Elephas maximus indicus: one gene and its partners. The protein of the gene in region 4 interacts with the protein of the main gene of each other region in a pairwise test. Links are inferred from orthologs where the notes say so. Each region holds a gene or a part of one and is shown on either strand. Other genes may lie near its edges. The genes, in order: DEUP1, MED4, HSBP1 and KIFC3.

The links.
Region 1: the proteins of KIFC3 (region 4) and DEUP1 interact in binary tests that used the Homo sapiens proteins (3 or more experiments, as listed by UniProt). The two-hybrid records come from large-scale screens. The link is inferred for Elephas maximus indicus from reciprocal best matches to the Homo sapiens genes KIFC3 and DEUP1.
Region 2: the proteins of KIFC3 (region 4) and MED4 interact in binary tests that used the Homo sapiens proteins (3 or more experiments, as listed by UniProt). The two-hybrid records come from large-scale screens. The link is inferred for Elephas maximus indicus from reciprocal best matches to the Homo sapiens genes KIFC3 and MED4.
Region 3: the proteins of KIFC3 (region 4) and HSBP1 interact in binary tests that used the Homo sapiens proteins (3 or more experiments, as listed by UniProt). The two-hybrid records come from large-scale screens. The link is inferred for Elephas maximus indicus from reciprocal best matches to the Homo sapiens genes KIFC3 and HSBP1.

What each region holds. Positions count from the first base shown.
Region 1 is NC_064825.1:27,651,984-27,659,847, forward strand, and holds the start of DEUP1 (deuterosome assembly protein 1), read right to left. Parts: upstream 3,006-7,864; 5' UTR 2,816-3,005; intron 2,696-2,815; 5' UTR 2,418-2,695; intron 2,384-2,417; exon of another isoform or gene 2,247-2,383; intron 2,217-2,246; exon of another isoform or gene 1,556-2,216; intron 1,076-1,555; 5' UTR 1,032-1,075; coding exon 1,003-1,031; intron 1-1,002. UniProt on the Homo sapiens protein: Key structural component of the deuterosome, a structure that promotes de novo centriole amplification in multiciliated cells.
Region 2 is NC_064832.1:30,888,158-30,895,101, forward strand, and holds the start of MED4 (mediator of RNA polymerase II transcription subunit 4), read left to right. Parts: upstream 1-3,935; 5' UTR 3,936-3,964; coding exon 3,965-4,089; intron 4,090-4,096; exon of another isoform or gene 4,097-4,745; coding exon of another isoform or gene 4,746-4,774; intron 4,775-6,944. UniProt on the Homo sapiens protein: Component of the Mediator complex, a coactivator involved in the regulated transcription of nearly all RNA polymerase II-dependent genes.
Region 3 is NC_064839.1:49,799,519-49,807,237, reverse strand, and holds the start of HSBP1 (heat shock factor-binding protein 1), read right to left. Parts: upstream 3,011-7,719; 5' UTR 2,974-3,010; coding exon 2,929-2,973; intron 2,397-2,928; coding exon 2,330-2,396; intron 1,552-2,329; coding exon 1,433-1,551; 3' UTR 1,431-1,432; intron 918-1,430; 3' UTR 1-917. UniProt on the Homo sapiens protein: Negative regulator of the heat shock response. Negatively affects HSF1 DNA-binding activity. May have a role in the suppression of the activation of the stress response during the aging process.
Region 4 is NC_064839.1:24,689,291-24,697,192, forward strand, and holds the start of KIFC3 (kinesin-like protein KIFC3), read right to left. Parts: upstream 3,009-7,902; 5' UTR 2,902-3,008; intron 1,826-2,901; exon of another isoform or gene 1,764-1,825; intron 1-1,763. UniProt on the Homo sapiens protein: Minus-end microtubule-dependent motor protein. Involved in apically targeted transport. Required for zonula adherens maintenance.

The DNA of each region.
Region 1 (7,864 bases), on a different chromosome or scaffold from region 4:
GTAGGAGTAAAAAATTGATGCTATTATTATCCAGACTTGGGCAGTTTTCCTTTAGCCAGACGTTAAAGCAGGTCTGAGTAGAAAAGCTAAAAGTTAAAGCAGGTCTGAACAGAAGAGCTAAAAGTGAGACACCTCAAGTGGCTGACTAGAGCGAAGTCAGCCACGGTCAAGATCAGTCACTACAGTAACATCCCCACTCACCTCCACCCCTGGCTCTGGGATCAGCCAGTGGCCAGTTGGCTAATGAAACAATATGAAGAGGAAACTTCGTGGTGCTGGTGGCAGGGAAGTAGGGACAGATATTTACGAAAAGGAATTTGGTTAAATTTCTATGATAGGGGATGCTATACAAATTCTACTCCTTAGCTCTCTATGAAATTTTTGGTTTAATATCCATCCTTGTTTTGTGGAGTTGGATCTATTTTGGGGTTGTGTTGAAGTGCTGAGTTGAGTCTTAAGTGCAAGAGTAGAGGGAAGTGTGGGACACCTGGTGCAGCAAGACGGGAGCAAAATGGCCAGGAGGTGCTGCACTGTAAGAACCGAAGAGTGCACGAGGCCAGCAGTGTCAGTGCCCTGGGCGTAGGCACCCATCACCCAAGACACCAGACAAAGTCGCTAAAAGTTGGAAAGCTGTGATTTTCAAGCGCAGATCCACAGATCACACTATAGATTCTTAATTATAATCACTTGAAATTTCCCCCCACCCTCACCAAAAGTAATTTCCACATCCTTCTATTAATGCTGGAAACCCTGGTGGCATAGTGGTTAAGTCCTACTGCTGCTAACCAAAAGGTCTGCAGTTCGAATCCGCCAGGTGCTCCTTGGAAACTCTATGGGGCAGTTCTACCCTGTCCTATAGGGTCGCTATGAGTCGGAATCTACTCAACGGCCGTAGGATAGTAGGTAGGCTATTAAAGCTAAATTTTAAAACTCATGTATCACCAGGGAGTTTTTGGCATTGTTAAGTGTCAGCTTATTAAACAGAAGTTTCTTAGCACTTACCCCATTGTATTTTGGGCCTGGTTCTCCATGTTGAGAAGCTGCTGAATCTGGTTTATGGTTCTTGATTTTTAATCTGTTAGGAGAAAAAATTATCTAGAGTCCTAAAACGCTTACATTAATTAACCCACAAAATATGAACATTTTGCTATCAGCAAACCATTTGAGGTTAGTTTTTCTGAGCGGAGTAGCTCACGATTCTACAAAATGTTGAAATTTGGGCTTTTTTTGGCAGGGTGTCCCATGCAGCTATGATATTGATTAATAATAACTTGAAATATGTGGTACTGACTGAAATGAGCGCTCATTCACTATTTATTGAACAATAGCTCAGCACCAGGTACTATGCTCAGTACATGAGGATGAGTAAAATAGAATCATTACTCAAGAGGAGCTCCAGTTGGATATTCACAAACTTTTCTTTCATGTGGATCCCCTAAATGGTTTACCTTTGAGCAAATTCTTTCTTTAGTCCTTTCTGAGTTTTGCTAGAATGAATATACTACGAAATTTAGGACAAAAAAGGTTAAGAATTGCCTAAAAATATAAATCTTACCATTCCTCAATGGTTCCATGGGCACTGGCACATCCTCTTGACAAAATAGAGATATCAGTACTTGCCTAAAGCAAAAGATTTTTCCCAGCAACAAAGTTTTAGTGAAAAATAATCTACGAGGATAAATGGACAAAGTATTGAAAAAGGACTTCAACTCCTCCGCATCACTGAATAAAAGTCAGTCAAACAGCAGTCGAAGTAGTAGGATGAGGAAGAAGGCTTCGGGCTCATTCCACTATCAAATCAAAGGAAATTAAGAGAAGTCCTGGAATTGTGTGTGGAGGGGTGGGGCAAGGGGTAGGGGCAGTGAATGGAAAGCTTGACCAGGATGAAGGGATGAATGATTTTGTAGGCTCTCAAATCCCTCAGTTTAATGTCAGGGAAACTGAGGCACAGACATACTAAGTGACTTGTCCATGGCCACACAACCAGAACCTAGGCCTTCTAACTCAGGGAGAATCTCTGCTCTGGATTCTGCAAAGGCGGCTCTTATATCCCTCGGTCCTACCACCCGCTGCGCTGCCCAGCCTTGACCCCGACCCCCGCCCCAACCCGCGCACAGCTCAGGCCCAGTCTCCCCGGAGCAGCCGGCCTGTTGGGGTCCCCCCCCCGGCAAGGGTCACCCGCGCCTGACCCGGGGGACGAGGGTCAGATCGCGAAGCGAGACCGGGGAGGCCTGGGGCCGGGTTACCTGCGCTGCGCGGCGCCCGCCGGAGAGGTCTGAGGCTCCGGGAGCAGGAACGCCTGGGCCTCCCTCCCGCCCCGCCTCGAGGGCCTCGCCACCCGCCGCCGCGCTCCCGCCGTCCGGGCTCGCCCGCCGCGCGGCCGCCTAGGCCGTTGCGGCCTCTCCCGCCCGGCTTACCGCGGTCCGCCGCTTGGCTCCTGGTTGCCATGGGGACGCGGCCCGAACTCGCGGCCGTCGGGGTGGGGGTGGGGGTGAGGGTGGCAGGGAGTGCCCGGCGGAGGCGCGGGCGGATCGGCGGGAGGCGGTGGCCGCGGGGCGTCTCGGGCCGCGCGAAACTTCAGCCCAGGCGAGTGCGACCTCGCTGCCCCGCTGCTGTGTGGCTAGTGTCAGCTCGCTAGACGCAGAGCTCCCTGAGAGCACCTTCTGAGTCATTTTTTCTTTGTGGCTTCCAGTGCCTAAAGCAGGGACCGGCAATAAACAAGGGCTCAGAAAGAATGAAATAACTAAGGAACAAAGAGTAAACAGCTGGGGGTTCCGCACTCAAGTTCCTTAAATTTCCCTGACCGTTCTCTCACCTGTCCCAAACTGAAACGTGATCAAGGACAGAGTGAACAGAGCTGGCTTTTTCTCTTTTCACCAAAATGTCTTTCAGCCCGGAAGGGCTGGATTTCCTTAACTGTGTTGCTTAGTCCACAGTACTCTGGTCGCGGTAACTGCAGCATTTGTACCTGTCTTTTTTTTTTCCCACTGGGTCCTTAGAACAACTCTGCGTGTTGGCGAAGCAAATAGTATTGTCTCCCATTCAAGGAGAAGGAAGTAACTGCTAAGTGGGGGGACCTGGGGTGGAACCCAGGATGACTGATTCCAGATTCTTTCCTTTTCCACCAAATTCCAAGAGTGATGATACAAGTGCTGTCTCACTGTCTTGATTTCACATTTCACAGCGGAAATGACAGGAAATAATGTCATAGCCTGTAGCTATAACATTATCTCTCAAAGCTAACTTTGAGAGATTTTTTTAAAATAATTTATTTTTTGTTGTTGAAAATATAAACAGCATTTAACAATTTCTACAGGTACAATTCGATGACATTGATTACATTCTTCAGGTTGTTGTCACCCTCCTTTTCCAAATTGTCCCTCCCCCATTAACATAAACTCACTGCCCCCTAAGCTTCCTATCTAACCTTTACTGTTGTTTTTGTCAATTCGATCCATTTAGATAGTTCTTTAAAAGAGCACAATACTCAAGGCAGACATTCTTTACTAATTAAGCTAAACTGTTGTTTGGCTTAAAGAAGACTTAAGCGCTTGGATTTTCTGTTTGAAAAATATTCTTGTATCTATTTGAGGAACAGACTTCCTTTCTAATACATCTAGCTGATTAACTTCTAGTCCTTAAAATCTTTTATTTGCACTCTACTTTCATAACATTAACATTAATTTGCTATTTAATATGGTTATCAATTTAATATCCTCCCACATTCCTCCATCCAGGTTCCATTTCAATTTCATAAAACCATTTGCTGCTTCTTAACAAATTGAGTCTCATAGATGAACTGTATAAAGTAACTCAGGTTATTAGTTTTAAATAAGTGTTTCATAGCACATATGTTATGATTGAATGAAGAGAGTGATCATTTCATCTTAACATTATTCTGAAAATCCTAGTCATGTTCTTTTATTCTTTTGTAAACTAAATGGATCGATGTATTTTTCTTGACCCGAGGAAGAAAAAATGGAACTTGGCAAGGGCTGTTAATGAAGTTTCAGGATGCCCAAGGTCACTCGTGCTTGTGTAGCTCTTTACTATTGGTCAGTATTTTCACATTCATTATTTCCTCAGGTGCTCAAAAGTACTCATGAAGCAAATGTAACAGGTGTTATTAGGAAACCAAGGCTTAGCAAGAATAAATGATTTGTCCAAGATGATATATCTACTTCAAGTGCAGCTAAGATACGAACCCAGGTCATATAACACCAAATCTACCAAAATCAAACCCACCGCTGTTGAGTGGATTCTGACTGATAGCAACCCTATAGGACAGAGTAGAACTATCGCATAGGGTCTCCAAGTCTGTAATCTTTATGGAAACAGACTGTTACATCTTCTCCCATGGAGCGGCTGGCGAGTTTGAACCACCAGCCTTTCAGTTAGCAGTCAAGCACTTAACCACTGTATCGCCAGGGCTCCTTACTCCAAATCTAGTGCTCTTCAAACTCTGTCTAAAAAATAAGTTTGACAATAAAAGGAACTATGAAAAGGAAATCAGGAGAGCAATACCATTTATAATAGCTCCTAAAAAAGTAAAATACTTAGGAATAAATCTAAGCAGGGACATAAAAGACCTATACAAAGAAAACTACAAAATGCTGCAAGAAACCAAAAGAGACCTACATAAATGGAAAAATATACCATGCTCCTGGATAGGTAGACTGTGAAAACTGTCAGTTCTATACAAAGCAATCTACAAATACAATGTAATTTCGACATAAATACCAACAGTATTCTTTAACAAGATGGAAAAACTAATCATCAACTTTATATGGAAATGGATGAGGCCCCGGATAAGTAAAGCACTACTGAAGAAGAAGAATAAAGTAGAAGGACTTGCACTACCTGACCTCAGAACATACTATACAGCTACGGTAGTCAAAACAGCCTGGTACTGGTACAATGACAGACACATTGACCAATGGGACAGAACTGAGAACCCAGATGAAAACCCATCCACCTACAGTCTCCTGATCTTTGACAAAGGCCCAACATCCATTAAATGGGGGAAAAGACAGTCTTTCTAACAAATGGTGCTGGCAAACTGGGTGTCCATCTGCAAAAAATGAAACAGGATTCATGCCTCTCACCACACAAAAAAACTAATTCAAAATGGATCAAAGAACTAAGTATAAAACTCGAAACTATAAAGATCATAGAAGGAAAAATAGGGCAAATTCTAGAGGTCCTAATACATGACATAAACCATAACTAAGAACACACAAACACCAGAAGGTAAGCTAGATAACTGGGATCTTCTAAAAATTAAACACTTATGCTCATCAAAAGACTTCACCAAAAGAGTATAATGAGAACCTACAGATTGGGAAAAGAAATTTGGCTACGACAAATTCAACAACGGTCTAATCTCTAAAATCTCTAGGAAAATCCAACATCTCTACAACAAAAAGACACCTAATCCAGTTAAAAAATGGGTAAAGGATCTGAACAAACCACCAAAGAAGACATTCAGGCAGCTAACAGACACATGAGGAAATGCTCAAGATCACTAGCCATTAGATAAATGCAAATCAAAACCACAATGAGATACCATTTCGCCCCAACATTACTGGCACAAATCCAAAAAATAAAAAATAACAATTGTTGGAGAGGCTGCGGGGAAATTGGAACTCTTATGCACTGCTGATGGGAATGCAAAATGCTGCAACCATTTTGGAAAATGATACGGTGCTTTCTTAAAAAGCTAGAAATAGAAATACCATATGATTCAGCAACCCCTCTCCTAAAAATATAGCCTAGAGAAATAAGAGCCGTCACATGAATAGACATATGCACACCCATGTTCACTGCAGGATTATTCACAATACCAAAAAGGTGGAAACAACCCAAGTGCCCATCAATAGATGAATGGATAAACAAACTCTAGTACATACACACAACGGAATACTATACAACATGAAGAACAATGATGAATCTGTGAAATATCTCATGACATGGATGAATCTGGAGTGAAATAAGTCAACCACAAAAGGACAAATATTATACGAGACCACTACTATAAAAACTCATGAAAAGGTTTACACAGAGAAAGAAACACTTTTTGATGGTTATCGCGGGGTGGGGGGAAGGGAAAAACACTAAATAAACTATATATAAGTGGTAATTTTGGTGAAGGGTAAGAGAGTACACAATACTGGGGAAGCCAGCACAACTTGACAAAGGCAAGGTTTTTGATGCTTCATAGACATATCCAAACTCCCTGAGGGACCAAATTACTGGTCTGAGGGCCGGGGACTGTGGTCTCGGGGGACATCTAGCTCAATTGGCATAACATAGTTTATAAAGAAAATGTTCTACATCCTACTCTGGTGAGTAGCGTTTGATGTCTTAAAAGCTTGTGAGCAGCCATCCAAGACACTCCACTGGTCCCACTCCATTTGGAGCAGGGGAGAATGAAGAAAACCAAGGACCACAGCTACCATAGCTTCCTCCAGGTTGCGTCCAGCAAAACTAGATGATGCCTGGCTAGTGAGCTTGACTGCTTTGACAGGGATCACAATAGAGAGTCCTGGACAGAGCTGGAGAAAAATGTAGAACAAAATTCTAACTCACCAAAAAAAAAAAAAAAAAGAAGACCAGACTTATTGGTCTGACAGAGACTGGAGAAACCCTGAGAGTATGGCCCCTGGACACCGTTATAGCTCAGTAATGAAGTCATTCCTGAGGTTCACCCTTTAGCTAAAGATTAGACAGACCCATAAAATAAAATGAGACTAACTGGGCACACCAACTCAAGGGCAAGGACGAGAAGGCAGGAGTGGACAGAAAAGCTGGCAATGGGGAACCCAAAGTCGAGAAGGGGAGAGTGTTAACATGTCATAGGGTTGGTAACCAAGGTCACAAAATAATATGTGTAATATTGTTTAAATGAGAAACTAATTAATCTAAAGCACAATTTAAAAAAAGTTAAAACAAGTAAGGTTGATATGTAAGGATGGTTCAACTTTGGAAAATCAGTCAACGCAATCCACCACATAAATAAAACAAAGAATAGGAGTCACATGATTATCTCAATTGATGCAGAAAAGGCATTTGATAAAGTCCAACACCCATTCATGATAAAAACTCTCAACAATATAGGAATAGAAGGGAAATTTCCCAACATAACTAAGGGAATATATACAAGACCAACAGCCAACATTATTCTCAAGGGAGAAACACTGACAGCATTTCACTTGAGAAAGGGAATAAGAATGGATGCTCTTTATCACCACTTGTATTCAATACTATACTGTAAGTCCTAGCTAGAGCAATAAGGCAATAAAGGGAAATAAAGGATATACAAATTGATGAGGAAGAGGTAAAATTATCCCTATTCACAGGTGATAGGATCATATACATAGAAAATCCCAGAGACTGCACAAGAAAGCTACTGGAACTAATCCAAAGATTCAGGCAAGTGGCATGGAACAAAATAAACAAATAAAAGTCAGTTGGAGACAGAAGGGGCCACATAAACCAGGGACTACATCAGCCTGAGACCAGAAGAGCTAGATAGTGCCTGGCTAAAACCGATGACTGCCCTGACAGGGAATACAACAGAGAATCCTTGAGGGAGCAGGAGAGCAGTGGGATGTAGACCTCGAACTCTCATAAAAAGACCAGACCTAATGGTCTGACTGAGACTAGAAGGACCCCAGAGGTCATGGTCCCCAGACTTTCTGTTAGCCCAAGACAGGAACCATTCCCAAAGCCAACTTCAGAAAGGGATTGGACTGGACTATGGGATAGAAAACGATACTGGTGAGGAGTGAGCTTCCTGGATCAAGTAGACACATGAGACCATGTGGGCAGTTCCTGTTTGGAGGGGAGATGAGAGGGCAGAGGG
Region 2 (6,944 bases), on a different chromosome or scaffold from region 4:
TCAAGTACCACTACGAATAACGTTTGTGTGTTTCTCCAGCCATATTCAGCTGCATTGGTACAGGTACTCAAAAGACAGAGCTGAATTTAGCCTGGTTTGTCACCTTGCTGGAGCCCTGGTGGCACACTGGTTAAGAGCTGTGGCTATTAACGAAAAGGTCGCCAGTTTGAATCCACCAGGCACTCCTTGGAAATCCTATGGGGCAGTTCTACTCTGTCCTATAGAGTCGCTATGAATCAGAATTGACTCAACGGCAACAGGCTTGGTTTTTTGGTTTGGTTGTCTTACCAAAGGATTGTTCAGCATCACACAAGCCACCACTAACAGACAGATGGTGGCTATGCATGAGGTACACTGGTCCAGGTCTCCCACACGGAAGGCGAGAATTCTACCATTGAACCACCAATGTCCCCCTGAGTTTCCGTTTAGGGTGATGAAAAACACTTGGAAATGTATAGTGGTGATGGTTACACAACATGGCAAATGTAATTAATGTCACTGAGTTGTAGTTAAAATGCTTAAAATGGCAAATGTTTTGTTTTATATATTTTAACACAATAAAATTTCAAAAAATCCAAACTTTGATAGTGCTTATATTTTAGACAGAGATTCCCAGTGCTTTTTCAGTACGTGAAGATGCCTCTTTCTTTTTAAAGAGAGTCCACATAACCAGTGATAAAGAGCATAGACTCTGGAGCCAGAATTCAGGTTCAAATCCCAGCTTTGCCACTTACCAGCTATATAACTTTGGGCAAGTCTCTTGCCCTTTCTGTCCCTCAGCTTCATTATCTGTAACAGGGATAATAACAGTACTTATAGGAATGTTCTGAAAATTAAATGAGTAATATTTTTAAAGTGCTTAGAAGAGTGCTGGCATGTTAAATTCCCTGGATGGTGCAAATGGTTAAGCGCTCAACCACCAGCCAAAAGGTTGGTAGTTCGAACCCACCCAGAGGCACCTTGGAAGACAGGCCTAGAAAGCAGCTCCTGAAAGGTCACAGCCCTGAAAACCCTATGGAGCAGTTCTACTCTGCACACTTGGGGTCACAATGAGCTGAAATCCACTCAATGGCAGCTAACAACAAGGTGGTACTTGTCTTTTTTGAATCCATGCATTGAGAAAATACTTAACATTAAAAAAAAAAAAAGATTTTTTTCTTTTTTTACCATGAATTCAGTAAGATTTATTAAAATCCTTTGTATTTTTTGTATCACACCTGGAACTGTATAATTTGGCAAAAAAAAAAAAACTGTAGGAAATATGACTTGTTAGTCATAAAGAATGCTTAATGTGAATCTCAGTTATCTAGCACTGCTATAACAGAAATACCACAAGTGAGTTAACAAACAGAAATTTATTGTCTCACAGTTTAGGAGGCTGGAAGTTCAAATTTAGGGCAATACGGAAGACTCTCTGTCAGTTGGCTCTGGTGGAAGATCCTTGTTCCTTGGTGATCTTCATGAAAGGTGGCATCCATCTTCCCCCAGCTCTTCTTCTTAATCTCCTTTTGCAGTAAAACCTGCGAAAGTTGGAAGCTGTGCAAGGTGTAAACCTGTCAGAAAAGGAAAACTCAAATATTTCCCACTAATAGAGAACAATAGAAAAGTGGTAAGACTGCAGCCAGTTGAAGTGGGAAAACTTTCGAGACCTGGAAAAACAAGGCAATCCCAGCAAGTTTCAGCTCTCACATGTGGATGCCTCAAAAGAGATTGACTCAAGACATACCCTACGCTAATATTGCCTCATTAACATAACAAAATCCATTCCCAAATAGGATTATAACCATATGTATAGGAGTTAGGATTTTACAACATATATTTTTAGGGGGCACAATTCAATCCATAACAACATGCAAATGAATTTGCAATAAACCCAAGCAGCTTTGGAGTTCACAATACATGTATACTCTCCAGGCACTGACCCTCAATGTCTGGAAAACCCTTTGTGGTAGAGTCGATTCTCACTCATAGCAACCCTATAGGACAGAGTAGAACTGCCCCTAGAGTTTCCAAGGAGCAGTTGGTGGATTTGAATTGCTGACATTTTGGTTACCAGTTGAGCTCTTAACCACTGCACCACCAGGGCTCCCAATGTAAAGTGGGACTTATAACTGGTAACTGGTCATTTTTAACTGATTGGAATTTTCCCAGAATTTTTATGTGGGAGTTACACTAATATGATCCCCCTTTCCCGCCACTGGAATCATATACCAAGATTGTCCTGTGAAAGTTAAGTAAACAACGCCCACACGTATTGCAGGTTTTTGGCACCCTGGAAACTTAACCCAAGAAATGATTGATTAGACTTTCTGGGAAGCATGCATAGAATGCAATTATGATCAAGAAAATGTAAATCTAATTTTTTCTGTTGCCTGAGAATTAACAGAAGGGGTTAGGCAGGAGCAGAAGTGGGGGATGGTCAGAAAACAAAAGGTGCCAGTGAGCCTCCTGCACCGTGTAGGGGAGAAGGCATCCTGACCTATGAACACATATATTCCAATCTCCTTAACACAAATATCCCTACACTGTGGCGATAAAGACCTGGTGATTTCAATCATTAAAAGCCAGCTGGTTCGGTGGTTGAATTCTCATGTTCCATGCAGGAGATCCAGGTTCCATTCCCAGCGAGCACAACTCCTGCACAGCCACCACCATTTGTCAGTGGGGGCTTTTGTTTTGTTGTGATGCTGAACAGGTTTTAGCAGAGCTGCCAGACTAAGACAAGCTAGGAAGAAAGGCCTGGCAATCTACTTCCAAAAAATCAGCCAATGAAAACCTTATGGATCACAATGGTCCAATATGCAACCGTTTATGGAGATGGTGCAGGGACAGGCGGCATTTCATTTCTTTGTGCATAAGGTCGCCATGAGTCCGGGGCTAAGTCCTTGGCAGCTAACAACGACCACATCTTCAATTGCTCTGTCTGATGCAAGTTGTTCAACAAGCAACATTCTTGTGATAATTGGCTTCCACGTAGGTTTGTCTATGGAGGAAAATATAGTCTGTGGCACTATTTTTTTCATCACAAGTAAATAAATCGGCGTTCTTGATTATTCAGCAGTTGCCAGTGAGTAAATGCATTTAGCATGAGTTCCTGGGGGAATCATCAACTCTGGAAGCCTGGGCAGAATCAGATTCAGCACCCTCAAAAGGACAGACCAAAGGACAAGTTGCTGGAATGAAGGGACCACAGGTACTGCTGCCTGACTCCCAGCTGATGTCCAGAGGTGACATCTCCGTCTCATCTTTTTGTAACCGCAGCACGACCAGGTACAAAACCTCACTCCCAATACTGTTGTAACTTTGAGTTTTCCCTGTAGGAAAAGCCCTCTTCTACATTGTCCTCCCCCAGGAAAGGTGGGCTACTTGAAACTTTGGCAGATGGGCAATGGTGCATTTTCGGCTTGGACCTCTGGTTCTGATTTGGAAAATGCGCCACCTCAATTCTTTATTTAAACTCTTCCCATTACCACTTTCATGCTATATTGATTAATTCAGCTCAACACCCATCTTGAGCATTAGGGAAAGCATTGTTTGGGGATGTATGGCTGTGAAAGGAGCTTACTACAGCCACCGTGAGAACCGGAAAAGGAGCGTTAGCATAGCGTTATGAGAACATAGACTAAAGGGAGGTTAATGCTGACTGAGGATAGATATTTCGCAAGATCTCACGAAGAAACTGACATAAGAGGCCATTATATAATTCCGACAAATGCTTAGATATCGTTTAGCAGAAGCCTCTCAGTGCAGCTTTGAAAAACAGAAGGCACAGGGTTTGGACCGGAGAAGCCCTGGCTGGTCCAGCAGATGGCGCCGGCGCCCTCAGTTCGCCTCCGGGCGCGCAGGGGGCGCTCTAGCCGACCACTTCCTCCGCCTTAACGACCCTTCCTTCCGCCTCCCGAGTACCGCTCTCACCGCTCCGGGGCGCAACTGCGCATGCGACGCCGGCTGGCGCCTGGGCGACATGGCTGCGTCTTCTGGTGCGGAGAAGGAGAAGGAGCGGCCGGGTGGCGGCTCGGGAGCAGCAGGTGGTAACAGCACAAGAGAGCGGCTGCTGTCTGCCCTGGAAGATCTGGAGGTCTTGTCGAGGTAATCCCGCCAGGCTGAGGGCCTGACTGGGGCTGGGCCGAGGCTCCATGACTGACTCGGGAGCTGCAATTGCGCTCATTCCCGGGACTCGGCGGCGAGGGCCGCGCTTGGGAGACTTCTGTGTGGACTCTAAAAGATAGTTCGCGAGTGTAGTGGACTTGAGGTCCGCAATCCTCTGAGACTCCGAGGCGGCATTTTTTTTCCCGCAAGAGGACATTTTAGTAATGACAGTGACCCCGGAACTCCAAGACTGTCAGAGCCTTAGCGGACCGTAGAAATCCCGTAGTCTGAGCCCCCTGGTTCACGGACCCTCTCAAACATTTATGTGACAACTGGGTGCCAGGCGCTCAGGAGATGGTACTGAAGGGGAAGCCAGATGCCGAGTTGGAGGAACCCTTTGTCAACAGGGAGAGACAGATATGTAAACGGTGACCATCGTGCGTAGCCTGTTTTCATCAGAGGTGTGCGCTGGGGCACCCCACCTTATGGACCAGGCGCCTGACCCAGCTGTAATGAGGACAGTGTCCTGGATGGAGAAAGGGCTGGTTGGGAAGAAAGTGTTCACTTATTAGGCGGCAGGTAGATGGAACAGCGTGGGTAAAGACCTGGAAACGTGAGCACGCACGATTTGTTGGTGGAATTGCAGGTTGTCGGGGATGGCTGGAGCGAAGCATGTGTGGCAAAGGTAGGAGGAGAACTGGGAGGTGAGACCGAATGTCGTTGTCCGTATTCTCCCTTAATGGTAGTTGAAGCCATCCTTCAGTGCGTCTCATACTCGTGGATGTTCAAGTTGTAATGTTTTACTCTCTAAAATGTTGCTCACATTTGCCCCCTCACCTGCACCCCACAGTCTTAACTATTTCTTACTCAGTCTGCCAACAGTTTTACTTGCCTTTATGCTTCCATACTTTATTCTTCTATGTTGCCCAAGAGCGGAGTCATCTTTCTAAAATAGGCATCTCATATCACTTCTCTGTTTAAAAATATTTGATAGGTTGGCATTGTCCAATGAGATAAAGTCCAAATTCCTTAGCTTAGTGTACAAGGCCGTTCCCCACCCCCTCTTGCATATCCTTCCCTCCAGCCTGTTGTACTCCCTGGTCTCAAAGCTGGCTTTACTTCCTCATCCTTGGTACCATTCCCATTCCACCTCCAGTTTGGTGCATCATTCATTCATCTTTTGGAATCGCCCTGAAACATCACCTTTTCTGTAGCCAGCATTCCTTGACGATTTTGTTAAATCTTATCTATTGTAATTTGAAATATACTTACCTACTGATAATCAACATTTTATCTTTGCTATAAATTTAGTCTTTGCCACAGCATTACTTACCAACTTACTAGGTCAGCGTGATATTAAGTGATGTAAGAAAAACCTAAAAACAGAGACACCAGAAGTTAAATAGCTTACATGTTTAATGAACTGCTTAGATTGTATTAGACTCAAATACTGCCGGATGACAAATAGAGCGTGTGGGAGTTTCAGCCAGGCAGCGGTCAGTGTGGTGAACAAGAAAATCAGAAGCACAAGGCGGCTGTATTATGTGTTGCCTCTGTGTGAATCATTACACAAAGCAACGCAAGTGCTATTTTCCTCTTTGTCTTTGATGGTTTCGTGATTTGTGGAGGAGAATTTGTCAGTTTCCCCATTAGCTGATCCTCTTGAATGAATACCCACATTATTTCCTAATGAAAAGACATTAGCAAGACAGAGTATTGGTAGTTTGATGTTCTCAGCTGAATCATTCATGTCTCTGCTGTGTATGATTTACTGTCTTTGGGACGGCTAATTGAAGTTTCATATAATTCATATTGAGCACTTACTTTTTGTAATGTACTAAACTCCAAATTAACATCCCATAAACACTTTTCTAAATAGGAGCGAATTTCATTTGAAAAATTTAGTGTGCTCAACCTAACCACATCTCTATGGAGATGTGCCTTTAGAATCACCGATCAGCCAAACTGAGTCTGTGAAATACCTTGAACAGGTAACCATGTTGTTCTGATACAAATCTGTGTTCAGTTAAATTTAGGACAACTAAAGATTAATTGGAAAATACCTGTGTTGCTCCTGTATGAGCCAATTCTTCCTTGAATTCTATCTAGATCTTTCTGCTTGAAATACTTCTTTGAGCTATTTCTTGGAGAATTCTCACCTGAAGGTTGAGTCTAATATTTGGTTGACTTCTAACAACTGTGCTGTGGCATCTTGATGGTGCTGTTGAGTGTGAAATTAATTGAGTTAAGGTATTCTTTATTGTCTGTTCATTTTGACCAACCGTATGGTATGGATGGTATTGATTAAGTTTTCTTTGCATACATTGTGAAGAAGTGACACCCCCTGTGGGAAGTAGTGGCTGCCACCTTTTGTTCTGAGTAGGCCTTGGTCATAGACCTTCAAATCTTTGCCTTAATCTCTCCAATAGACTACTACTTCTCACTCTTCTGCTGTGGAATCCAGTGAATTCTCCTCTGAGCCTTACTTGATGTAACATAGTTTATCTGTTTTGCTGAGTAACCCTAGTATATATTTCATATTCACCAGGGTGATGATCTTTGAGAATTTCTTCTGACATTGGACAACCCAATAGTCAATCTTGAGGTTTTACCTCTGCGTCACTTGCCAGCTGGGCTATGTATCTGAGATGTGTCTTCCTGATGCTGTCGGTACCTGTAGGCATACATATGCTTGGTATCCATGTACTTTTCATAATTAAGTTTAAATTTATCAGTTCTGTTAAATTTGAGACTAAATTGAAATTTTCTTGTGTCTCGATTTGACCAACTTATAGCCTTCCATATTTTTTTTTTCTTGACTACTGAGTATAATATTTACTTTTTGATGAAGTGTG
Region 3 (7,719 bases), about 25 Mb from region 4:
TACGACAAAGTCATTCATCACTTTCTAGCCAAGCAACTGGACTTAATATGGTCTCTTGCCCTTTTCTGTAGGTAATCTGTATTTCTTTTTTCCAATTAATAGTTCAAAGAAAGGATGGAATAATTCAGGTTTTCAAATCCTGCCAGGTATTTCATGATAACTATTATAGGTGAATATAGGGTTCTACTGAAGTATAAGAATCTCATGCAAAACTGTAACAAATGACATCTCATTATGTTAGGCTATTCCGTTACTTTCCATATTTAAACATACTAAAGTGGCAATAGTGACTTTTCATGGACTTCAGCATCTGATCTCAGGCACTTATAATAGAAATAGAGCTGTGGTTCGATTCTGAGTTTTGGCCACACAGGAGTGCCAGGTATTTCGGAATAAACGAATTCTACATGTTTCTGGCTGTTTGGAAAGTATTGCCAGCACGCTGTTTGGTGTCAGTTCAACAGCCACTTTGTGCTGAGAATTAAGAACCTCAAACTCAACTAATGTTTTACTTCACAAAGTTCAGTTTAACTGAAGGATTTACCATTTGTCTAAGAAAAAAGCCACAGAGCAATTTTTATCAAATAGCAACTACTACAAAAGGAATGACAGAAAATGACTTCATGAAAACACTCTAAAATTTTGACAATTTTATGTAGGAACTGCCAGAGTTTTAGTGTTTAATAACAGCACAACAGACCAAGGTCCGAGATGTGAAGTTTACCATATTCAAGAAAAAAAATTCAAGAAACTACAGGAAAAATCACTCCGAAAACTAACTATATGATTTACGGTAAGAACACACACTTTATAATATAAAACCTGTCTACACGTAGTAGTTAGGTGCAAAAAGCCATTCGGTCTTCTCTTGGCTTGTAAAAATTGTGTTCCAGACCTCACTGTAAACTATTAGCAACCTGTTGAAAAAGGGAACACCATCAAGATGTTTTTCATTATATGAGGACAAATAAAAATGATACACAGAATTATCAACTAAAAATCCTTTCAGAATTCTCTAGTGAATAAAACATGTTTTCTTTGTACAATATTCTAGCAAAAACACAACTGGTTTAATTAGAACTTTGTAAAAAATTGTGACTATTTCCTATTCCCACTGCTTTGTATCTTCCCTGTCTCTCCAAAGTCTTCAATCCTGCAGTTCTTAAGGATGTTCTCAATTTGCTTTATGGGATATCTGAATGCCAAATCACAGAAAAGACCTAGAGAAGTTTATAAAACTAGCAGGGCATTTTCCAAATTACCCATGTCAAAACATGAAGTCCACAGGGGGAGAGAATAAAAGGGATGCTCGCTGGGGCCATGGCTGGGAATTCATCTAGAGAAGTTTATCTACATCAAAATAATACTTAAGAGGTACCTCTCTGTACTCTCCTTTTTTCCTTCTTAAAAATAATTAGCTCCTTCCTCACCTTCAACTCTTTTGTGTGGCAGGAATCTTGTTTTCACCTTCCAGTTCTTCCACCCCAGCCTGGGTCATGAGGTCTGCAATATTTTTCTCTAGATCATCAATGCGACTACTCATGTCATCAAGTGATCAAGTTAAAGACAATGAACAGCATTTCCACTTCCCCATTTCTTATCCCCTTTTTCCAAGGTCCTGTACTATGGCCTTAAACACAATTGTGTTAATGAAACTGGTTTTCCAGTTTCCTCTGGATATTCTGAAGAGTACAGGAACCTGGGGCAAGGATGCCCAGGATCAAATCCTAACCCTGCCCCTTGCCAGTGATGGGAGCCTGGGCGAGCTTTTTCACTTTACTAAACTTCAGTTTCTTCATCTGCTAAACAAAGATGGTGACAGCATCACCTATTCATAAGGATCTAAGGAGTAGACACAAGAAGTGTTTGGCTCACAGTCAGAAGTCAATCACATTAGCCATTATTATGGGAAGATTGTAAGTTCCCTGTGGCCAGGGCTCTGTCTAGTTCAACTCTGTGTTCCTAGCCCTTAGCACAGCACTTCTGGGGAACAGAGGACATCCAGGTAATCTGGTAAATGGCAGGCTGAAACTGGTCTGCAAACCACCCATTTTATCTACCGAAACAACAACAAAAAACCAGTTGTCCAGTGGATTCCAACTCAGCGACCCTATGGAGCAAAGTAGAACTGCCCCATCGGGTTTCCAAGGCTGTAATCCTTATGGAAGCGGACTGCCACAGCTTTCCCCGTGGAGAAGATGGTGGGTTTGAAGCCCAGTTAGCAACCAGAGTTTAATCACTGCGCCACCGGGGCTTCTTAGGCATCTACCGACTACCTGGCAAGTAGGATCCAAGGCCCATTAGAGGCTGACACGAAGTAAAAGGATATTTCTTCCAATGATCTGGTCGGACATGGTCTGAAATTTATCTTGCATCTGTTGCAACAGTGTCTGGACCTAAGAGAAGAAAACATCCTTATCCTGAGGCACCTTCATGGGATCAAGACAGAAACCTGGTCTAGGAGTGAGACCTGGACCCCGGGCTCCAGCCCCAACTCGGCCTCTTGGCGGCTCTGCGACCTTTAGTCAAAAACTTCCTTCTCCGACTTCAGTTTTTTCTCATCTGTTAAATCAGACTGAAGGCCGGCGGAGCCCCTTTCAGGGTGGGCCCGCTGTGGTTCAAAAACGGCAGGGTTTTTTGGTTGTTTTTGGCGACTTGAAGGCATCACGCACACATCTCGGGGGTGCGCCAGAGCTGAGGGGTGAGCATGGGACGTTGGCGGGAGCATGGGGGTCATCAGGGGCCTTCAGGGGCAGGAGGAGACACACCCAGGAGGGGTCTGGGGCAGGGAGAGGTCTACACCGAGGGCCCCGGCGGGTCGCGGAGGCGGCGAAGCCTCCAGAAACGTCTCGCGCCGCCGCCGCCGCGGGCCCCGGGAGGCGCCCGCGGAAGATGGCGCGTCCTCGGGCCCGCGCAGCCGCCCCTTACCACCGAGGTGAGATCCTGCATGTTCTTGGGGTCGGTCTCGGCCATCTCCCCGCTTCCCAGCTTGGCGGTGATATCTCCGACCGTCACCTACACTTCCGTTTGTCCGCGCAGACGCCCCCAGCGGCTTCTTCTCGCGACGAGAGAGAGAGAGAGAGACCGCGAGACCGCGGGGTATTGTGGGAGCTGTAGTTCAAGTCAACGCCACGGAAAAGCCCCGAGCTCTCGCCTTTGTAGATACCCCGGTGGCTTAGTGGTTAAGAGCTACCGCTGCTAATCAGGAGGCCGGCAGTCTGAATCCACCTGGCGCTCCTTGGAAACTATACGGGATGGTTCTACTCCCTCCTATAGGGTCGCTATGAGTCGGAATCCACTCTACGTCAACGGGTTTGGTTGTTTTTTCTTCCGTTTCTGGAGCCCTGGTGGCGCAGTGGTGAAGAGCTCAGCTGCTAACCAAAAGGTCAGCAGTTCGAATCCACCAGCCGCTCCTTGGAAACCCTTTGGGGCACTTCTACCCTGTCCTGTAGGGTCGCTATGAGTCTAATCTGGAAAGCAAAGGGTTTGGTTTTGGGTTTCTTGCCCTTATGGTACTAAGCGAGGCCCCGCCCTTCTCCGCTCACCTCCCCCCCTCCACGGTCGTCCTCGCCCCACCCCTCCTCGCCCTAACCTGTCTCACCCCGCCTCTTCGGCTTCGCCCTCCGCCTTTGGCCTTACCCCCCTGCATTGCCCCATTTCCCACCCCGCCCCTGCCTTGCCCGTCCGGGCCCTGCACTGCCCTGCCCCTGTTGCTCTGCCGCCACCTCTCCCCGCCCGTCTTTAACTTTCCCGTCCCCGGCGCCCGCCCCTCTGATCTCCTTTTGGGCCTCTCCCCTATAGGGTCGCTATGAGTAGGAATCGACTCCACGGCACTGGGTTTGGTTTTTTTTGTTTTTCCCAGGCAGAAAAAAGTGGAACAAAACCGGATCCTGGCAAATAGGGAATGCCCTGACCGTCTTCCCGCAGTAGTTGGGACGGCTTTGGCTTCCTGGGGTCGATTGGACGAACATCCCGGGCCCTGCGACTATCAGCCCAGCTGTGCGCGTCCCCGCGCTGTCACCGCTCTGGCATACCTGAGTCCAGCAGAGGGGCTGGCCTACTGTCCCTTTCACAGGTGCACCTGTGCACACCAGGTAGACCTATGTACCTGGAGGGGCCCTCAGGGCAGAGAGGCAACCAACGGTCCGCCATGCCAGTGGCTGCCAAGCTCTGGCAATGCCGGCCCAGGTGGGTCTCCGCTGCCCCGGGGCCAGGTGGCTGGTGCGATTCTAACTTTCAGGTACTGTCTAACATGCCTACTGCAAAGTGCAGAAATCCTACGTGCCTCCGGCTTAAAAACATGGCCAGCCCACTAGGCCCTCTCCTACCCGGCAGAAGTCACCAAGCCCTGACTTTTCACATCGCACACTGGTCTTGCCTTTGAATTTCATGTAAGTGAAATCAGACAGTGGGCCTCTTTCAGTGTCTGGCTTCTCTTGCAATGTGATGTTCCTTGGTGTTGTTGGGGAAGGCTTCTTTGGTAAAGGAGGGGACAGTGTCAGGGGGCTAAGAGACTGTGGGTTTTGGTGTTTCTTGAGATTAGAAGCTCAATCTTGGGGTTCCCTATTACCAGCTTTCCTGCCCCCTCCTGCCTTCTAGTCCTTGCCCCTAGGCTGGTGTGCCCCTTTAGTCTCATTTTGTTTTATGGGCCTGTCCAATCTTCTGCTGAAGGGTGAACCTCAGGATTGACTTCATTACTGATCCGAAAGGGTGTCTGGGGGCTCCACTCTTGTGGGTTCTCCAGTCTCTGTCAGGCCAGTAAGTCTGGTCTTTTTTTGTGAGTTAAAATTTTGTTCTACCTTTTTCTCCAGCTCTGTCCTAGACCCACTATTGTGATCCCTGTCAGAGCAGTCAGTGGTGGTAGCTGGGCACCATCTAGTTGTACTGGACTCAGTCTGCTCACCTGGATACTTTTGTCTCAGTGTTTTTGCTTAATCCTCAGAACACCCCTGTAATATAATTATTATCATTTTACAATTCTAAGAACACAGTCCCAGAGGGGCTAAGAAACGTAAACAAGGTCATCCAATTAGGAAGCAGTAGATGCAGCACTTGAACACAGGACTTTCTGACTCTACATCTTCTGCTTTTTCTATCATTCCAGAATTCCGTGAGTTTTCTGAGCTTCGAGCAGGGTTTCTCAACAGTGGCACTGTTGACACTTGGGCTGGAAAATTCTCTGTCATGGGGGCTGTCCTGGGTGTTCTAGGATGTTTAGCTGCATCGCTGGCCTCTATCTGCTACATTCCAGTAGCACCTCTAGCGTGAGAACCAAAAATTCCTCCAGACATTGGCAGCATCCCCCAGGGGCAAAACTCCCTCCGATTGAGAACCCCTGGCTTAAAAGGGTCTGTAGACGCTGCCTCGAATTCTGTGTACTTGTTCTTCGAACATGAATTTGTTCTTGCTCCGGCCGTTTCTTGAGAATGTTCTTCCATCTATGCTGAGATTGAAGGCTGGTGAAGTAACATCACCTTCTTCCATCTGTGTTGTGCTTGTTACTTTATAAAGAGTTTTCAGAAACCTCCAGTCATTTAGCTACCAAGTAGCCAAGGGGAGGTAGGACCTCCCCCTTCTTACTTTAGACCCCATCATTCAGGGCTACCACCCTCAGCGTGGAAGTCTGGGTACCTGCACCCTGGACACCGAAGTTGTGAGCCACCCTGGTTTATGGCCTTTGAGGAACAGAAGGACGTAAATTTGCATCAGGACCTGGAGTATTTTTTCCCCCTCTGGCAGGAGACTTGAGGTTTTTTATCCTGTTTGAAATTTTCTTTACATAAACAGCAAATAAACTTGGCATTCTTTTAGTGGAGGTTTTTGTTTTGTTCCTTTGTTTTTCACTTCAATAGAAAGACTGTATAGTCTGTGTGGCAGAGACCACAGGTCTGTTAAACAGCTGCTTGGTGTGAAAGCTTCACTAATTTATAGTCATGGCTGATATACTTTGTGGGGCTGACACGCTGAACCTAAACTGAATATTGTCCCATTAAGAAAACTAGTGTATTATGTGTAAGGCACTAGTAATTAACCTTTTAGACTTCACTTTTCAACAACCCTCATTTTTAACCTTTATTTAAAGTGTCGTAGTTGTCTTAGCTCCTCTTAGCACTTTTTTTTTTTTTTTTTTTTACTCTTTAGCTCTTTCTAGATTAATTGCATGTTGTAATTCTCTTTTCGCCTTTCAAGAGGGTTTGGTTTTACATGGGCTTAATATGGTGCTTTAATAATAGCTCCTTGTTTTGAGCTGGAATGCTCTCTTTTTCCAGATATATGCTGAGGGGGTGTTCCTGTACAGGTGTAGTTGCTCAGCAATGAGATTTTTGCTTGTCTGTTTGCTTTGCGTAAGCAGATGAGGAATGGCGGCGGCGGTGGTGGCTCGGTGGTAGAATTCTCACCTTCCACGTGGGCGACCTGGGTTCGATTCTTGGTCAGTGCACCTCATGTGCAGCCACCACCTGTCTGTCAGTGGGAGCTTGTGTGTCGCCAGGATGCTGAGCAGGTGTCAGTGGAGCTTCCTGACGACAACAGACTAGGAACAAAGGCCTGGTGATCTTCTGAAAATCAGCCAGTGAAGACCCTATGGAGCTGTGTGGTCTGATCCACAGCCGATCATGGGGTTGGCTCAGGACTTGGCAGCATTTCGTTCTCCTGTGCGGGGGGTCACCATGAGACGGAGCCAACTCAATGGCAGCTAACAACAAGCAGAGAAGACACGATTAGAGAAGGGATTTAGAGAAACCTTGTAATCTGTTCTTTCCGTCGCTGCACCTGTATGGGCTCAGAGTCGCTGTGGTTGCTGCTTCTGCTGCCGAGAATCCCACACCTGAGTGAGCTGGTGTCACAGCAGCTCAGGATGTGGGGCCTTATCCTTCCAAGTGGCCTGGCAGGCCCCCTGCTCTCGCCCTCCAGTGGTCATTTCAGCCTTTGCAGTCTCTTCAAACCCTAAAAAACCAAAAACCAAACCCACTGCCGTCGAGTCGATTGCAACTCATAGCGACCCTATATGACAGAGTAGAACTGCCCCATAGAGTTCCCAAGGAGCGCCTGGCGCATTTGAACTGCCGACCTCTTGGCTAGCAGCCATAGCACTTAACCGCTATGCCACCAGGGTTTCCTCTTCAAACCCAGGATAACCTTATTTTCTATATTGTGGAGTAAATAGAGCCGATCAGTCAAGGCCCCTTAATTCTCACCCTCCACACCTACATGTTGTTGAAAGAATAATTGGTCGTGGAAGGTTGATGAGGAGGGGTTGGGGATTACGGAGCTTAGATGGGTGGAGGGGCAGCCCCTCCATTGTGATTTCAGGCTAGAGGATCATGGAGGGAGACTGGTGCACTTGGCAGCTGGCAGGTGTTGGAAGTTGCATTTCAACATGTTATACTTACTCTGTTTTCATGCAGATAGTACATACCTTCTGCATTGGTTTGCCAGCCTCCATCCCTCTCCCCACCCAGGTATTTTTGTAAGCACCACTATGCCAACATTTCTTTACAGCAACATGTTAAAAAAAAAATTGGCATAGCGGTGCTTAGGAAAATATCCCACGGGCGGAGGGAGCCACTGACAAACCAATGTAGAAGGTGCGTGTTATTTGTGTAGAAATACACAAATACTGCTCATGAGCCCTCTTGAGGACATTGCCACTTCCCTGACTTGCTCTCGCACCATCCCCTCCCCAACTTTGCCCCAGCCACACTGCCCTTCTTGTTGGGC
Region 4 (7,902 bases):
TGGTTGCAGAGGTGGCTGAAGGTGGGCAGGTGTAGAGTCCTCAGACTTGACCAGAGAGAGAATGGGAAGGAAAGGATGCCAGTTCCCAGTGAACCAGACTGGAAGGAAACTGAGACGGGCAGGGAGCCCCTGGGTGCTCTTTAAGAGAGCTTGTTGATGGAGCAGGGCAGGGGGCAGACTTGGGAAGGCTCAGGAGTGGGGTGGGAGCTAGAGGAAGTGGCTACCTGCCCCTCTTGGGAGGTCTGGCTAGCAGGGGAAGGACAGGATGAATCGAGAGGACTTGGTTTTTGGAACAGGAGAGATATGAGCATGTTGGGTAGACAGAGGGACAAGAATGATGGAAGCACAGAGAGGGGAAGACAGTAAGAGGCAGGGTGGGAGGCACGAAGACGTAGTGTCTGATGTTTGCGTAGTTGAGCCCTAGAAGGCCAGTCTCCTGGTGAGGGGACAAAAACTTGGAGGAGGAGGCTCCTGGGTGCAGCGTCACCACAATGGGGCAGGAATGTGGGCCACAGGACGGGTGGAGGCAAATCCAAATATGTGGGCTGGCTCCACTGAGGAAATCGAGATGGACCAGTGTTGCTGAGATGTGCTGAAACCCATGTGAAATTGTTCACTACAGGTTAGTAAGCACAAGTAAGCTTGTGCTTACCTTGCTTACTGGGTCATCCGCCCCTATTAGGAATTATAAATTGGAAAAAAGGCTTTGACTCTATAGGAAGGTGGTGTGGGGCTGGGAGAGGGACAGGTGCCAGCCATATCTAGAAGAAGAAACTTTAATGTGGTGAAAAAATGTGAAATTGTTTACCATAGATGGTCTGGTAAGCAAGGCAAGCGCCATGCTTACCTTGCCTATCAGATAATCTACCCCTAGGAAGGAAAGAAACCAAGGGGAGCAGTCAAATGTCCTCTTCTCCAGGCTGCTTGGCACAGGCAAACAACCAACCCTGCGGACGAGCTGCCCAACGAGCAAGGAGGGAGAGAGGCTGGCTCTACCTGTGAGCCAAGCCACTACAAGGTGAGGCGGTACAGGGCACTGCTGGTCAACTGCATGGTAGAAGGAGAAGACATATAAGGAAATCAGCTAGATCTAAGGGGCAGGGGCAGAAGACATTATTTCTGTGGCTTTCAGGAAGGGAAGTCAGGGAGGTAGCCAGGAAGATGTCAGGAAGAGAGAGGGTGTGTACAAGATCTCAAAGAGGAAAAAGCAGCTGAATTTAGCAGCTGGAGGAGGGTGGGGAGTCAAGAGTAATAAGGAATCTCAAATAAGGCCACAGTTCTGGGCCCAGAAAGACGCACCCTCTCCCCTTACTTGCATGGGCCTTCCATAACCCACCTGGCATCTGGGGCCTCTGCCATCCCAGGATGGGGAGGGGGATTACATGGAAGAGTGGTTATAACCAAAAGCTGGTTCAGAATCTGGCTCTGCCACTTACTAGATGTGTGACCTTGGGAGAGCCACTTTGCCTCTCTGTGCCTCATTATCCCCATCTGTAAAATGGGAAGAACTCTACCTTCTACAGTTGGTGTAAAGATTAGGCAACACACATATAAAGTGTTCAGAGCAATACTGGCAAAAAAAACCCAGTGCCGTCGAGTTGATTCCGGCTCATAGTAACCCTACAGGACTGAGTAGAACTGCCCCAAAGAGTTTCCAAAGAGCGCCTGGCGGTATACAAAGAGTTAAAATTTTTATTTTTCAGTGACCTCCCACTTGTGGTGGATGAATGCAGAGGGGACAGCTGGAGGAGGGGGACACCTACCTTCCCGGGTTTAGGCCAGGTGGCAGAACTGCAGGGTCAAGGGTTTCCTCCTTCTCCCAGACCTGGGGCATTTCAATGATTAAAGGACAGATTTTGCAACTGCCCAGGGACTGCTGCTGGGGAGGGCTCAGTCCCCCTGGGAGTACAAGCAGAAGGTCAGGGAGACTGCACAGGGGCTGGGATCTTCCCTGCACAGAGCCACACATCTGCGTTTTTCACAACAATCCAGATTTTAAAATTCTCTGCTCTCTTGTGCCCTTAAGGACAGTGGAATTCATGACCCTGCATCCTAAGGTCCAATCACTGCAAATACAGGGCCCCATTCTGAGGCTGCATTCCTGGCAAATGACTCTGCTGGCCAAGGAGACAGCTACTTTATCAAGGGCATGGGGCATAGTCTGGGCAAGAATGGGTGCTCCCCCAGCCTCAGGGAGAGGGAAAGCCAGGGACCCGGAAGGGCCAGAGGTGGTCACAACCCTCAACCTTGAGACAGATGTGCTCATGGTGATGGCAAAGGGCACTTGAGAAATTAAATACAGCTTCCTCTTTACAATCTCCCAGGACCAGGCCTAAGTTCGGCTCTAACTCGCTATGAGGGGCTTAAGGGGGTGGCTGCTGGGACCTCCAGCCTACCGCTGGCAACGGCCCGATTCCCCACTGCCCAACAGGGCACCTGCCAAGGTCCTCTTTCCTGAACTGGGGGCTGGCCCACCCCACCCCGGCCCTGCCAGCTGGAAAGCGAATTGCTCAGGGTACGTGGTGGGAGGCCCCAAAACTGCAGCCTTCAAAGGAAGGAAGCAGCGCTGATTAACATCTGCCTTTCTGGGGTAGGGTCCGCGCTCTCCCAGGCCGATGGAAACGGAACGGGGGTCCCGAAGCTGCTCTGATCCCAGAAGACGTGCCGCTCCCGTGCCCAGCTCGGGGCACGGTCTTCGGCCCAGGTTGGACAGTGCCAACGGACCGCACAGGGCTGGGTCTCCGGGGCCGAAGCCGGGGCCGGGCCTTCCCCCGCGCCCCAGCGGGCCCGGACACAGGGGTCCGGCGGTGAGGAAGGGCTCGGACACGGCGCCCCGTACGGCGGGCCGGGTGGAGCCCAAGCGCCCAGCCCGCCCGCAGCCCGCCGGGGCCTCCGACTTACCCGCCTCACGGAGGCACGATCCCGGGGTCGCCGCAGCGCCGGGGGCTCGGCCCGGCCCGGCCAGCCGGCTGGAGGCAGCTCCACGCCGCCGCCACCTCCTCCTCGGCCCGCCCTGCTCCGCCCCGCTCCCGCCCCTCCCGCACACTTTCCACAGGAAATGATTAGCTCGGGCCGCGGCGCGTTCCCATGGCAACTGGCTTAGACCCCGGCGGGGGGCGCGGCGCGCGCACTCACGCACACGTGCTGGCCCGGGCGCGCGCCCCCGTGCACTCACACGCGGGGGCTCCCACCCTGAGGCGTCAAGCTTTCACCCAGACGTGTCCACGCGGTCTCTCCCGCCTTCTGCGCCCTGCACACGCTGGTGCGCACATATTTCCACAAGAACTCACACTTTCACGCACCGAGTCTTTCACACACTCTGATACACGTGTTCTCTCACGCTACTGCAAATGCTTTCACACACACTCACACAAGTCTCGTAGGTCTCACACATATTCATCCACTCGTTAATACACGGTTGCCAGGGCTGGTGGTGCAATGGTTAAGAGCTTGGCTGATAACCAAAAGGTCAGCAGTTCGAATTCACCGGCTGCTTCTTGGAAACCCTATGAACGGACTCGACGGCAACGGGTTTAGTTAATTCACGCATGCGTTTGCACACAGGCTTCCACACTAGCACTCACACCCTCACACCGTAATACACAACTTTCACACACTCTAGTTAGCGCTTACGCGCACTGTCACATCTCACATGCTTTGCCTAACAAGCCAGTACACCCGTTCTTCACATTCTCGTACACCCTCTAGTTAGTACATGCACACACTACCACATGTTCTCACACACGCACTCACCACATACAAGCACAGCACTTTCACACGTGCTCTCTGACGTGGTTTCCCACAAATGTTCTCACACGCTCTATTGAGTACTAGTACACACATTCTTTTAAACCCTAGTACACATACTTTGAGAAGTCCCTAGTGGTGCAAGTAGTTAACTAAGCAGAAAGGTTGGTGGTTTGAACCCACCCAGAGGCACCTAGGAAGACAGGCCTGGCCATTTGCTTCCAAAAGGTCCTAGCTTTGAAAACCCTATGGAACAGTTCTCCTCTGCACACATGGGGTCACCATGAGTAGGCATTGACTCGACGACAACACATACTCTCATACAAACTCTCACACACTGTAGTCACCTCACACAATGCACTTTCACACGTTCTCACACATACGTTCACACACATGCCCTCACTCACTCTAGTATGCACATGTAGGCCAGGCTGCCTCCCAGTCACAGCAAACCCCCATCCCCACGCCCCAGCAAATTAACATCTTCCAGAACAGGGAAGCATTTGGGGTTTTTAAGGTACAGTATTCCTTTCAGCTCCAGTGAAAACATGTTGAGAGTGCAGCAGCCCTGGGAGTAGGCAGAGGCTCCCGGCCTAGCTCCAGCCTCTTCACAGGGCGTGGGGGAGGCCAGGGGGCCGGCAGACCAGGAGAGACAGCTGACCCGGAGGAGCTACTCTGTTCTTTGTCTCCCAAACAGAGGCGGCATTTTATTCCAGAGTCAACAGCACTATTCCCCCTTCAGGGTGCGGAAGAAGGAGAAAGAAAAGCTCGGAAGCCAGCCCAGCGCGCAGACCGATGGTTCCACAGATAATCCGAGCAGGGTGGGCACTCTGCCCCTTCCTGCTTGGCAGAGGATGGCTCAGGAGGAGCGAGACGGGAGGGGATCAGGCAGTTCCAGTCTCCTGCTGCTACCAGGGCCACAGGCTAAAGGTCAGGAAGCTTGATCAGAGCAGACTGAAGGCCTGAGCCTCAGCCACCTGTCTCAGTGGCTGCCAGATGAGGCCACTCACAGCCCCTCTCCCCACTGTTGGAGGTGGGCTAGCGTGTGTTTTATTTTCTAAATGAGATGCCCAAGCAAAGGCCCAGTAGAGGATAGATGTCATTCTCCTGGGGTGCTCTCTGGAGAGTTAGACATTTCCAACTAAGAGCTGAGGAGAACCTTCCCAATGGGGGAGGCTTTATTTTGAGAGTATCCCCTGTCTGCCCCCACAGACAGCAGTGGTCAGGGGGGACTGCAAGGTTAGATGAGGTTGAAATCTCTCTAGATTTCTGGGCAAGTATCTCCCTCTAGTATAAACCCATTGCTGTCAAATCAATTCTGACTCACAGTGACCCTGTAGGGCAGAGCAGAACTGCCCCATAGGGTTTCCTGGACTGTAAATTTTTAGGGAAGCAGATTGCTGCATCTTTCTCCTGCTGGTGGGTTCCAACTGCCAATCTTTTGGATAGCAGCTTAGCACTTTAACCACTGAGCCACTAGGGCTCCTCCCTCTATTATAATAGTCTATTATTTGACTCGAGGGCAGTGGGTGGGCTATTTGATTGGTGGTGGTAGGCAGGGGCTGTCCTTAAAGTCTTGGTATAAAACCGGAGGTCTTATCTTACTTTCGGGTTGGCACGTTGACATTAACTGCAGGTTCCTTCCAACAAAGCCAAAGCCAGAATTTTAAATTAATAATAACATTTATTGTTCTTTCTCTCTGATTACAAGAGTAATAGATGTTCATTGTAGCCGTAATCCCACCCACTAGAGATAAAGGCTGCCAACATTTTAGTAGTCTTTTTTTTCTCTATGCACATAATAGCTACCATTTATTCAAAGCTAACACTGTGCCAGGCACTGCACTAAGCTCTTTATAAACAAGATCTCATTTAACCCTGAACACCCTATAAGGTGGGCACCATCATATCCCGGTTTTGCAGGAGAGGAAACTGAGCCTCAGAAAGGTTAATTCACAAAGCCGGTGTGTGACAGAGCTGAGACAGGAACCCAGGTAGGGTATCCACATGCACACACACAGACAAAAGACTACTAACCAGAGGTTTGCTAAACCCACCCAACGGCATCACGAAAGAAAGCCTTGGCTATCCGCTTCTGTAAATATTACAGCCAAGGATACAACCAATGACTGCTCTGACAGGGAACACAACAGAGAATCCCTGGTGGAGCAGGAGAGCAGGAGGATGCAGGCCTCAAATTCTCATAAAAGACCAGACTTAATGGTCTGCCTGAGACTGGAAGGACCCGGAGGTCATGGTCCCCAGATGTTCTGTTAGTCCAAGTCTGGAACCATCCCCAAAGCCAACTCTTCAGGCAGGGATTGGACTGGACTATGGGATAGAAAATGATACTGGTGAGGAGTGAGCTTCTTGGCCCAAGTAGACACATGAGACTATGTTGGCATCTCCTGTCTGGAGGGGAGATGGGAGGGCAGAGGGGACAGAAGCTGGCTGAATGGACACAGGAATATGGGGTGGAGAGAGGGAGTGCGCTGTCTCATTGGAGGAAGAGCAACTAGGAGTACATAGCAAGGTGTGTGCAATTTTTATATGAGAGACTGACTTGATTTGTAAATTTTCACTTAAAGCACAGGAAAAAAAAAAGAGATTACAACCAAGGAAACCCCATGGAGTAGTTCTACTCTGTAACACATGGGGTCACCAAGAGTCTGAATCAACTCGATAGCAACGGGCTTATAAGAGTTTACTAAGATCAGAGCACCAGTGAAGGAAAAAGAAAACTGGGGCATTAGAGGAAGCACGTTCTGGCTCCAGCAAATACAGCTTTGACCTGAAATATAAAAACAAATTGTTTCATGATTGTTGGAATTTTTTTAAAGAATGTTCACTCTCACCAGGAACTACATACCAAATCCAAGGTCATTTCTAGCCTAGAATTTCATTGATGGTTTGATTGAAAGGCTGCCAAATCTGCCCTAGGCACAGAGGAGGCCAAGGATTTGACAGAGACTTGTCCGTCCCAATGTGAAGTCATGAACCCACGAACAACACGCTTGGCTTCTGCCCCTGGCCTTGGCCCTCCCTGCCCACAGTTGGACAGAGGCATACCTGTCTCGGGGAGGGCCAGACAAAAGGGTAGTGGCAAGAACACTCCATACCCATGTCCACCTTGACCCCTACACATGGGTCAGCAGTGCCATCTTTTTGTTCAAAGGGCTTGAGTCTCCTTAACACTCAGGGAGGGTCATCTGTCAGAGGTAGCCAAGGGGCGGGCCATGGGTACTTCTTCCCAGAGGGAAGCCAAGAGAAAGAAATGAAAAGCCAGTTTGTGTTTGATCTGATTGTCATAGTAACCCAGAATAACCCAGAGTAAAGCACAGATTTACATGATTTTCCAGTTTTAATGATTGAACTTGAGATTCGATGACCTCCAAACCCATTGCTGTCAAGTCAATTCTGACTCATGGTGACCCTATGTGTTACAGAGCAGAACTACTCTATAGGGTTTCCTTGGCTACTACCTTTACAGAGGAGCCATGGTGGTGCAGTGGTTAAGAGCTATGGCTGCTAACCAAAAGGTTGGCAGTTTGAACCCACCAGCTGTTCCTTGGAAACCCTATGAGGCAGTTCTACTCTGTCCCATAGGGTCGCTAAGAGTTGGAATTGGCTCGACAGCAATGGGTTTGTTTTTTTGGCTTTTATCTTTATAGAAGCAGATCACGAGGCCTTTCTTTCATGGGTGGGTCCAAACCACCAACCTTTCGGTTAGTAGCCGGGTGCAAGAGGATTGTGCCACCCAGGGACTTTTGATTACCTACCGTTAAAGCCTTAGAATGGATTCCAACTCATAGTGACGCTATAGGACTGAGTAGATTACCTCCAGGCCTTTGCAGATGCTGTTCCCCCTGCCCAGAAGGCCTCTCTCCTTCACCCCACTGCCCAACCTTTACTTGGCCAATTCCTGCTAGTGCTTCACGTCTTTCAAGCTTAGAGAGCACCTTCCTTCAGCCTCCCAGGCCCGGTCAGGTGGGCTCCTCTAGGCTCCCACTGTTCCCTGATCACTCGGCCCCCAGCAGCCTTCCCCACACTGCATTGGAACAGCCTCTCCCAGCTACACCATGAGGCAGGGCCCATTCCTGACTTGATCACAGAAATGCCTCTGCAGTGCCTGGAATCACATACGTTTTTGATGAA